Linked DNA regions of Mus musculus: all the other regions are reported to be linked to region 2. Evidence: microRNA targets listed by miRTarBase, many of them from high-throughput screens and not tested one by one. Region 2 holds a microRNA gene; each other region holds the end of a gene's coding sequence.

What was found. The annotated mature microRNA mmu-miR-362-5p reads AAUCCUUGGAACCUAGGUGUGAAU and lies in region 2 at 1,992-2,015, shown strand. An mRNA with a match to its seed (bases 2 to 7 or 8) in the 3' UTR can be bound and repressed. Matches are read on the target gene's strand: a 7mer-m8 pairs with bases 2 to 8, a 7mer-A1 pairs with bases 2 to 7 and ends in A, and an 8mer does both.
Region 1: miRTarBase lists Cul1 as a target of mmu-miR-362-5p. The part of its 3' UTR that is shown has no 7-base or 8-base seed match.
Region 3: the mRNA of Pofut1 is a reported target of mmu-miR-362-5p. The part of its 3' UTR that is shown has no 7-base or 8-base seed match.

What each region holds. Positions count from the first base shown.
Region 1 is chr6:47,525,468-47,528,467 of GRCm38, forward strand. It overlaps Cul1 (cullin 1), which reads left to right. Exons shown (of 22, transcript NM_012042.4): 22 at 87-677. The coding sequence ends at 167. Among named protein-coding and RNA genes, the nearest start is that of Ezh2, 68 kb to the right of the region's middle.
Region 2 is chrX:7,240,802-7,244,033 of GRCm38, reverse strand. It overlaps Mir362 (microRNA 362), which reads left to right and starts at 1,988; the gene lies at 1,988-2,052. All of the region lies in intron 2 of Clcn5 (chloride channel, voltage-sensitive 5), which reads left to right. It overlaps Mir501 (microRNA 501), which reads left to right and starts at 2,683; the gene lies at 2,683-2,791.
Region 3 is chr2:153,265,432-153,268,431 of GRCm38, forward strand. It overlaps Pofut1 (protein O-fucosyltransferase 1), which reads left to right. Exons shown (of 7, transcript NM_080463.3): 7 at 264-3,000. The coding sequence ends at 452. Among named protein-coding and RNA genes, the nearest start is that of Kif3b, 24 kb to the right of the region's middle.

The sequences.
Region 1 (3,000 bases), not on the chromosome of region 2:
TGGTGAGGGTGACAGACCTCTTTCCTGATGGTTATTTTCATTTCTCTCCCCCTTTAACTCCCTCTTCTTCCTAAAACAATGCCCAGAAATGCATTGATATTCTCATCGAAAAAGAATATTTGGAGCGAGTCGATGGTGAGAAGGACACCTACAGTTACTTGGCTTAACCCATCTAGCAGGGTCTGCATGACCCACAAGCAGATAGTTCCAGTGAATAAAATGGAAACAACTCAAGTTCATAGCAGCCAGCCTGCCGCCATTTGGACCTTCATTTTTAAAGCTGAGACCACAGTTCCCACCAGCTGGTTTCAGGCTACAGCAGGACTGCTCAGGACTGACTGACACATTTCAGTCTGTAAACAGACGCCAATGCCATTTACCCTAACTCACAGACAGAGGGGAACCGAACCTTCCATGCTGAGGCTGCATGCTACCGCACTTAAATCAATACATTGGCTCCCTGGTTAACAGCTGTCGTCTGAGGCAGCACACGAGAGCGAGTCTGAATGGACCCACGTGTAATCTGCTATGAAAACCATTTGTATAGTGTGTTTCATTTTTTTAATGTGTGAAAATAAAGAAAATTAAAGGATTTCTGTACAAGTTGCATTTGGTTTTGTTTTAAGTTTTTCTAATTTCTATATGTAAATAAAAGATTTAATGATTGTGCAAGTGTATATTCCCATTGTCTTCCTGAAATCCAAAAGGGCTGCATTCTTTGGATTGGAAATTAAGATCTTAATTTTTAAAGTCCTTAATCTTTTTGGGCACTGACCCTTGTTTTCTGAGACTTATTCAGTACCGTGAGTATGGCGTTTGAGAGGTACCATACTCCAGATTGCTGCTGTCAACTCTGCAGGGACTAAATGAATACTAAGACAGGTGTAGAAGCTGGTCTGTATCACTGCATCTAAATTATTGGAAACTCCCTGGCCACCAAGGAGGATGGTCAGCCCTCTCCACTTGTGTGTGAGAACTGAGAATCTCTCTCATTCCAGGTCCCTCCTAGTGAAGCTTTTCCAAGGAGGCTGCCATATTCACCCCAGGATGTCCCCGGAAGGAGGGCCCAGGCCAGGGATTGAAGGCTCTCATCTTCCTCAGATCCAGTCCAGCCCAGGGTCATCCTCAGACCTCCAGGGACTCTGCCACAAGGCACTGCACCGACCTTTGCTCTCAGTCTCCATTTCCTGGCTAAAGGGCAAGAGGAATGCAGAGGTGGTGATGGAATCTTCAGCCAGTCTCAGCGCTGTCACTCCACTCCATGGTTCATTCTCCTTAGGATGCCCTCAGGGTTCTCGGCTTCCTTACAAGCTATTCCTATGCTTGTGGAATTCTGAAGAGGCTGACACTGAATGCACTTAAGTTCCCATGCTTTATTTTGGGGTTAGGGGCACAGTTGTACTTATCAATCTCAGGCTTGCACACTAAGCCACATTGTTAGCCCTTTGCTTTGAGATAGCAATGTGTCTAACTGGGCAGCCTAGGCTGGCCTCAAATTTGTGATCTTGGTTCTGCCTCCCCAGTGCTGTGATTATAAGCACGCTTCATCATACCCATTCCTCAATTTCTCGTATGTCTTAATAATTAAGACTCTCAGTATATAAACCAGTTAACAAGTGAATCACCCTCAAGGGCTCTAGAGCTCCACAGACAATGATGCTCATGGCTTGCTTGTCCTAACAGTTGATTTGTTCAATTTTACAATTTAAACAAGCATGCTGTTTTTTAAGAATTTGCCTTAAATCCATGAAGAATAGGAGAAGAGGACAAGCAAGTTTGGCTGGGATCTCTTTGAATGCTCCATGTGTTTGTAGGTAAGTACACAGGATCTAGACTGCAGACTCCGCTAGGGCAGAAGGTCCAAAGTCCATGCTAACCTCACGTTTTAGATTGCTGGTAAGTGAACAGTGTTGTTGGTATGTGTTCATTCAGCTTCCTGCTCTGCTGCCACTCTTTTTTGCCATAATGGATTCTCCCCTTCTAGAATCCAAATAAGCTCTTTGTTCTATAAATCAACTTTTGGTTGTGATTTATCACAGCAAGAGAGAAATAACATACATTTATCTTCTTTTGAGGCTGTAGGGGCTAGGCAGGCAAATCTCTGAATTTAAGGCCATCCTGGTCTATATAGCAAGTTCTAGGCCAACCTAGGATACATGGAAGACCTTGTCTCAAAAGGGGGAAAAAAAACACCCACACACACAAAAACCTGGAAGGTTCACAGGAAGCTTCAAATATCTAGAAATGAGGTCAATGTGGACTATAGGTGGGTTTCTGGTAGTTAGATAAAAATCGGCATTCTTCAGGAACTGGTCCTCAGACCAAAATGAGTCATTTCCCTTATGGTAGAAGAGACATGAGAGCACATGCTCACAAGTACCTACTACACATTGCAAAGTCCATGCTAATCCTTAACCCTGCTTACCTCCTCCTCTATCCTGCTCTCCACTAGTAACCCTGTTCTTACTGTGTGCCCCACCCCCTTACTCATTCTGCTAATGCTTTTCTCAACAATGTTTTCTCTATTCTCTTTCCTCTGCTATTCTCACCCTAGCTATGTTCAATCTACTTCCTCTCTCTGCACTGGCTTCTTCCAGATGCCTCTGGCTGTTCTCTCATATCTCTAACAAAAACCATAGCATGGGGTGGTCATGTCAGTTTATACATCTACAAACCTGAATTTCTACCCCATAATAATATAGTTACTCCATGATAACAGGATGACTGTACAACTATGGATAAAATCTAGGTTACACTCAAGTATGTCAAAGTATTTACCTCCTGGGGCCATGAGTTGTCCCTGCCTTGGCAAATAAAACTTTAAAAAAAGGCAAAATAAGCAGAACCTAGATTCAGGGGTCTGCCCACTCCCAAAGAGATGAAAGAGTGAAAAAAAGGACCAAGTACTGGGGCAAGACTGGCAACTATTAGAGCAACAGAAGCTCACCTGTTAATCTTTTACCTTTTAAAGGCTTGCTTCTTTAAATCACAGTTCCTAGT
Region 2 (3,232 bases):
TGTGCTGATATGTGGAGCCAGTGGTAAGTTGGGCAGTCCAGTCTTTGTAGCATGTGCATACAGGAGGATGAAAATCATTCTCACTGTGTACGATCACATATACATGCCTGAGAAGCTGCAGGATGCACTTCCTTACTTTAGCCTCCACTTTCTAAGTGTCAAACCTGATTCATCACGTTCTCAGCACACATAGGCAACCTTCAAATGCAGAGGCCCACTGACAGCTTAGCAGGAACAGAGTCCTGCTCCCCTAACCTTGTTCTCTTACACCTCTAAGGAAGGGTAGTGGGCTCTCTTGGTTTTCATCTTTGACGGAGCTGTTATAGGAAGGTATACTTGTTTGTTAACACTGACATTTTTGTAAACACATACCTAGACAGTCATAGATATGCTTTTGCATCAGCTGGGTAGATAGGAGAACAAATATGAATGAAGCCCATCTATAGCTAGGTGTACATCATATATAGGCCCGTGAGCATAGAAGGTTTCTTTTGTTTGATACACTTGTTTTCTCATAGAGAAAAATGCCTTACTGTCATTCATTTATATTCGCTCTCCCCCCTTCTCTACTTCTCCCCTCTCTCCTTACTCCTGACTCTCTTCACTCTCTGTGACATATAGTAGGAAAGTGAAAGATTGAAACTTGTGATTTTGTCTTTCATATCCCTCACAGAAAGGGGTGTGAACTTCGTTGATTTAGGCACATTGAAGAAGAATTACCAGAGAGCCAGTCCTTGCATTGCCTTTTACAGATTCTCCGAGTCACTGATATTCATGCCTCCTTCACCTGGCTTTTGCATATATGAGTATGACCATACTATTGTAAACAGGACATTCATTTAGACACATGTGTACAAAAATGGTAGTGTAAGAGGTAAAAATAATAGCCAGGGGCCAGGTCCTGCATCCTACTCTAGGCTTGCATCTTACCTAATTTTTTTGGTACTCTTTAAAGAGATAGCATTTGTTATTCTCATTTTTTAGAAGTAGTCCATGACCTTGGAGAAAGCAGGTAGATTCTTTAATCCAGTACATGGTGAAGTATAGGTTTGAAACAGGGTTTGTAGATACCAAACTCCACAGTTTCTCTGTCTTATCCATGATGCTGGTAAGGTCCCCAGCATCACCCAGCCCCTTTTAGAAATACAAAATCTTGAGCTCACTAATGAGAAACCTCTGTAAGTTATCTTAGTACCAAGTCCTCCAGGTATCTGAAGTAACTTTAACAAGATGCTGATGTGTGTTAAAGGATGCCAATCTCTACTGCCATCTTGTGAGCTTATGGCCTCTTCTCTCTGTCTCTCTGTCTTTTTTTCTTTCAGTATTTTGTATCTCTGGCTTTATATTTTTATAATCTCAGAACAAAATATGAATGTATATATTTAGACAGGTTTCTCTGTCTCTGTCTGTCTGTCTGTCTGTCTGTCTCTCTGTCTCTGTCTCTCTTTGTCTCTGTGTCTGTCTGTCACTCTGTCTCTCTCTCTCTCTCTCTCTCTCTCTCTCTTTCTGTGTATGTGTGTGGAGGGTGCAGAGGTCAACCTGAGGTGCTTCCCCTTTGGGGACATCTACCCTGTTTTTTGAAACAGTCTCTAATAGGGACTTGGCACTCACCAGTTAGGCCAAGGGATCTAGCTTTCTTTGAGTCCTCACGCTTGGCTCTTTTATGTGGAGGCTGGGAGTTGAACTCAGGTGCCTAGACATACTTAATGTGAAGCTCAAGAACATTGTCTTCTTTCTCATCACAGATAAGCACCTTGTGTCAAAGGTGAGCCCATGCGTTCATTTGCTGTGAGCCTTTTGCCCTGCTTCAGTTCTCTGATCCTTGCTACCTGGGTGAGAGTGTTCTTCAGCAAGGATTCTGAGAGCCAGACCTTTGTGTTTGTAAAGGACAGAGCGCATCTCTCGTTCTCTTTTAGTGTGTTGCACACAAGCATATTGACCACACACAGGAAGGGCAGGTTCCTGAGCCTTCTTGCTTGCTCCCCCTCTCGAATCCTTGGAACCTAGGTGTGAATGCTGCTTCAGTGCAACACACCTGTTCAAGGATTCAAAGAGGCTGAGCCTTGTCTGCGTGTAGAATGGCCCATACTTGCACATCTCACCTGCCACCTTCCCTCCTCCTGGCCACCATTTGATTTTGGTTTTAGCTGTCAGACTTGGTTCTACACATTTTCTAACAGCAAAATGGTCTTTATCATGTTTGGTAGACATGCTTCTATTCTCAGCATGAGCTTTCTTGATTCCCAGTTTGCTAAGTGTCAGATCATGTGATGAGGAGCACACATTAGGTGCTGCTACTCAGGCAACCCGTTTGTTACATCCAGTGATAACCCCTGTTCCACAAAGCTTGAATTGTATAAAGGCATTGGAAAGGAATGGAGTATCCTCCTCCACTGTGCCCTCTTTCAGTATGTATATGCATTCTCAGATCCCAGCCTTCTTGCTACCTTCCAAACATAAATCAGGCCCCCACAAATTCTCAAGTATGATCTGGGAGAGATACCATTTTGTATACGTAGAAGTTTTCTCTGAGAGAGGATGCTCATGGTGGGAAGGGGGCAGATACATATATAAATCAGGGATGTCAAGCTTGGGTATAGGTGGTGATGCTTGGCTGAATCAGGACAAGGAAAATTAAATATTATATACAGAACCACACAAACATGGTACAGGTGCCTGGGCCTTCTGCTCTGCTCATCCTCTCTAATCCTTTGTCCCTGGGTGAAAATGCTATTTGTATGCAATGCACCCGGGCAAGGATTTGGGGAAGGTGAGCCTGATCTGCATGGAGAAGGACAGGAGGTCTGTGCATCATATCTCATCTGTTTGCTGCTTGCATACTTCTTTTATGCCTCCCCCCACCTTCTTTCCTTCTACAAATACAACGGGCATGGTGCATGGGAGAGTAAATGTGACAAATTTGGCCTCTTCCCACCTAGATTTTATAGGTAGAACTTTATTTCCACTTATGACCCTAACAGGTATCAAGAACAAGTGGGGCACATAGTAAACTGTGTATTGACATAAGTGCGCAGCTTTTCATTCTAGTTCTCATACCGACACCTGGAAGAGAAATTCTTCTTTAGTTCAACTCTTGGAGGAATGCACAGGGCAAGAACAGTAAGCCTTCTTGTTGAACCCACATGCCAAGGGCATAGGTGCAGGCTGTGCCTTTCTAGTACTTGCTACTTGGATGAGTGTGCTTTGCGAATGCAATATACCTGGGCAAGGG
Region 3 (3,000 bases), not on the chromosome of region 2:
CTGGGCAGCCTTTGATGAGTTGTGAGGACACTGTAGGGTAGGCAGCGGAAGGAACCAGCAGGAGCGGTGCTGAGGCATGGCGTGGCAGACAGGACTCAGGAGACCACACTTCAGAACACTGACCCCAATCTTCATCCTCTCCAACCTTCTCTTGGTCTGAAACTTCAGTCAGGAGAGGAAGGCTGAGAGTGTGGTGTGTTAGTCCCGGCTCAGCTGACCTTGGCCTGAGGTACCTGCTAATACTCTTGTCTTCCTCCCTACAGGTGAGGGTGGTGAGCCTGAAACCCGAGGTGGCCCAGATCGACCTGTACATCCTCGGCCAGGCTGACCACTTCATTGGAAACTGTGTCTCCTCGTTCACTGCCTTCGTGAAGCGGGAGCGGGACCTCCATGGGAGGCAGTCGTCCTTCTTTGGCATGGACAGACCCTCCCAGCTTCGGGATGAATTTTGATCCCATCTGAAGCCCCCACCTCCCACCCTCAACCAGGCTTGGCTGCTAAGGATGCTCCTGGGATTACACATCCCTTTTCTTTTCTGCCAGAGGTGGAGAACAGTACCAAGGACGTCCTGGAAGAGAAGGCATTCCATCCCAGGCATTGGCTCCCATGGTCCCCAGCCAGGGCTGCTCTGGGCTGCATGATCATGCACATACAAAGCAGCCCACCTCCAGCCTGGGCACACCCTGATATATACACATACATACACATAATATATATCATATATATATATATATATGTGTGTGTGTATGTATATATATATATATATATATATATATATCATATATATTTTCCCCCCCTTGGTTGAGGGTTTGGGGGAGGAGCAAAGGGGTAAGGTTAAGATCTAATCTCATATAGCCCAGGCTGGCCTTGAACTCCTGGTCCTTCTGCCTCTACCTCCTAAGTGCTGAGATTAGGAGTGTCTACCACAACACTCACTTGATCTCTGTAGTTTTGATGCAAAGCCATGCATGACTACCTGAAAACTCCCCTTTGTTTTTAAAAATCAGTGGAGTCCATTAGCACAAAAGCCTAAAGTGACCTTATAAATGAAATGCAGACAAAGCCAAGAAGCAAGTGGGCCTATTGGCTGCTCTTCTGGGGGTCCCCTAAAGGGCCCTCAGACTTTCCACTGCCAGGCCCAGCCACTGCCATCCCTGGGCTCCTCTGTTGTGAACACAGCAGGCAGGAGTTAGCAGTGCTCTGAGGACAGGTATGTGCTCCCACCATGGGTGGCAGTGTCCGGGCCTCAGCAGTATCACTGCACAAGTGAGGCTGGCAGGGTGCACTGAAAGCTGCTGTCTCTAAGACCCTCCCAGCCTCTGCTCTGTGGTCTCAGCCCTCACTGCAGCTGTCCCCTAAGGACTACTCACCAAGCCTCTGACATGTCCGTGCACAGAGGCCATGTGAAGCCCCAGGTTGGGAGCAGTCTTTGTCCCTCCAGCCAGTGTGGTGAGGTCCTCCTGATGCTGCTGCTCTCATTCATAAGAAGTGAACTCTAGGTGACGGGCCAAGTGGTCCTAGATTCTGCCTTGCACAGGGACATTTAGAGGCTGGAGCCCCAGTGGGTGACCATGCAGACCACCCTGACGGGCACAGCATTTCTGAAGAGCAGGTGCTGGGCTCTCGTCTGTGGCAAGCACTGTACTCTTTGACCCCGTTTCTCCCCTGTAAGTGCTGAGTCTGGTGGGTTCTAAGCTTCACGTCAGCTCATGAGTGTTGTAAACCTGGGCTAGAACAAGACTCCCATGTGGCCATTGCCGAGTGTAACTGTTGCTTACTGCCAGGCGCTGTGCTGGGGCCTGAAGGGCATCCTCTTACTTAGTTTGCCCCTGGTTTTATCCTTTTCTTTCTGACCAAAAAAAAAAGTGACTGTTTAGAGACATTTTCTCCCAGGCAGGGCTGCATAGCTGTGGGTGGTAAGCCAGACCCACTGGACTCTGTGTGTTGCTTCCCAGGACACATTGTGCACTAAAGGACACTAGGAAAATGATGAGCCACCCGACTGCCTCTGCATACTGCTGTTGGCTTCTGCTGCCAGCCCTATTAGGAAGCGACATAAAAAACAGGAAGCTCTGGGTAGTTACAGTACCTGTTTTCCTTCAGGAAGTGTTCACTGATGGCCTACTGTGTGCTAGGAAGGAGGGTGGCAGCAGAGAAAGCTTAAGACCCAGGATTGCTGTGGAAGGGAAGAGCTGTGAAGAATGCCAAGGGGAGGGGCTCAGGGAAACTGTTTTAAAGGAATCACCTTAGGGAGTGGAGGAGGACTTGCTCAGCTGAGGAGGCTGCACACTCCCTGCAGCAAGCATGGCACGTGCCAAGGCACTAAGGCAGGAAGGGACAGCAAGGGAACATCTGGAGATGAGGTGCCAAGATGACGTCCCAGAGGGGAGCTGGTGCTGCCTGTGGGTGAGAGGCTAGGCCATTGTGCTGGAGGTGGGAGAAGAAATCACATTCTGAGTATATCAAGTTATTTTTGTATTTCAGTCTCTTTTTTTAAAGGCACCAGCCTACATGGTTGTGCAGTATATTCCATTTAATGTCTTGGGTTTTGTTTTTGTTTTTTTTTTACTACATAACCACACATCCTATTTTTCCTGTGTGAACATAGCTGAATAGATGCTTTTAATTATGTAAGCTTCCACTGAGGAGTGTTTCATAGTTTGTGACTCACCTTCTATGAGATCAATCCCCAGCTGTTACTATTGGATTTTATCCCCAAGGTTTCTTTGTGTACCCCTTGCTGTCTTAGAACTACTCACTCTTTAGACCAGGCTGGCCTCTAGTTCTCAGAGATCACCAACCTCTATAAGAAAATTCAACTGTGCTCAAAAATTGTGACTTTAAAAAACTGAGCTCACGGTATTAACAATTTACTTCAGCAGCTAGTTCATTTACTCCCCACTCCTAATCGGTCTGGAGACTGGCTTCCTTTTGTACTCTGGGGTAGGGTCTTCTGTGGGCCAGTCTGGCCTGGAACTCTTGATGTAGCCCAGACTTATC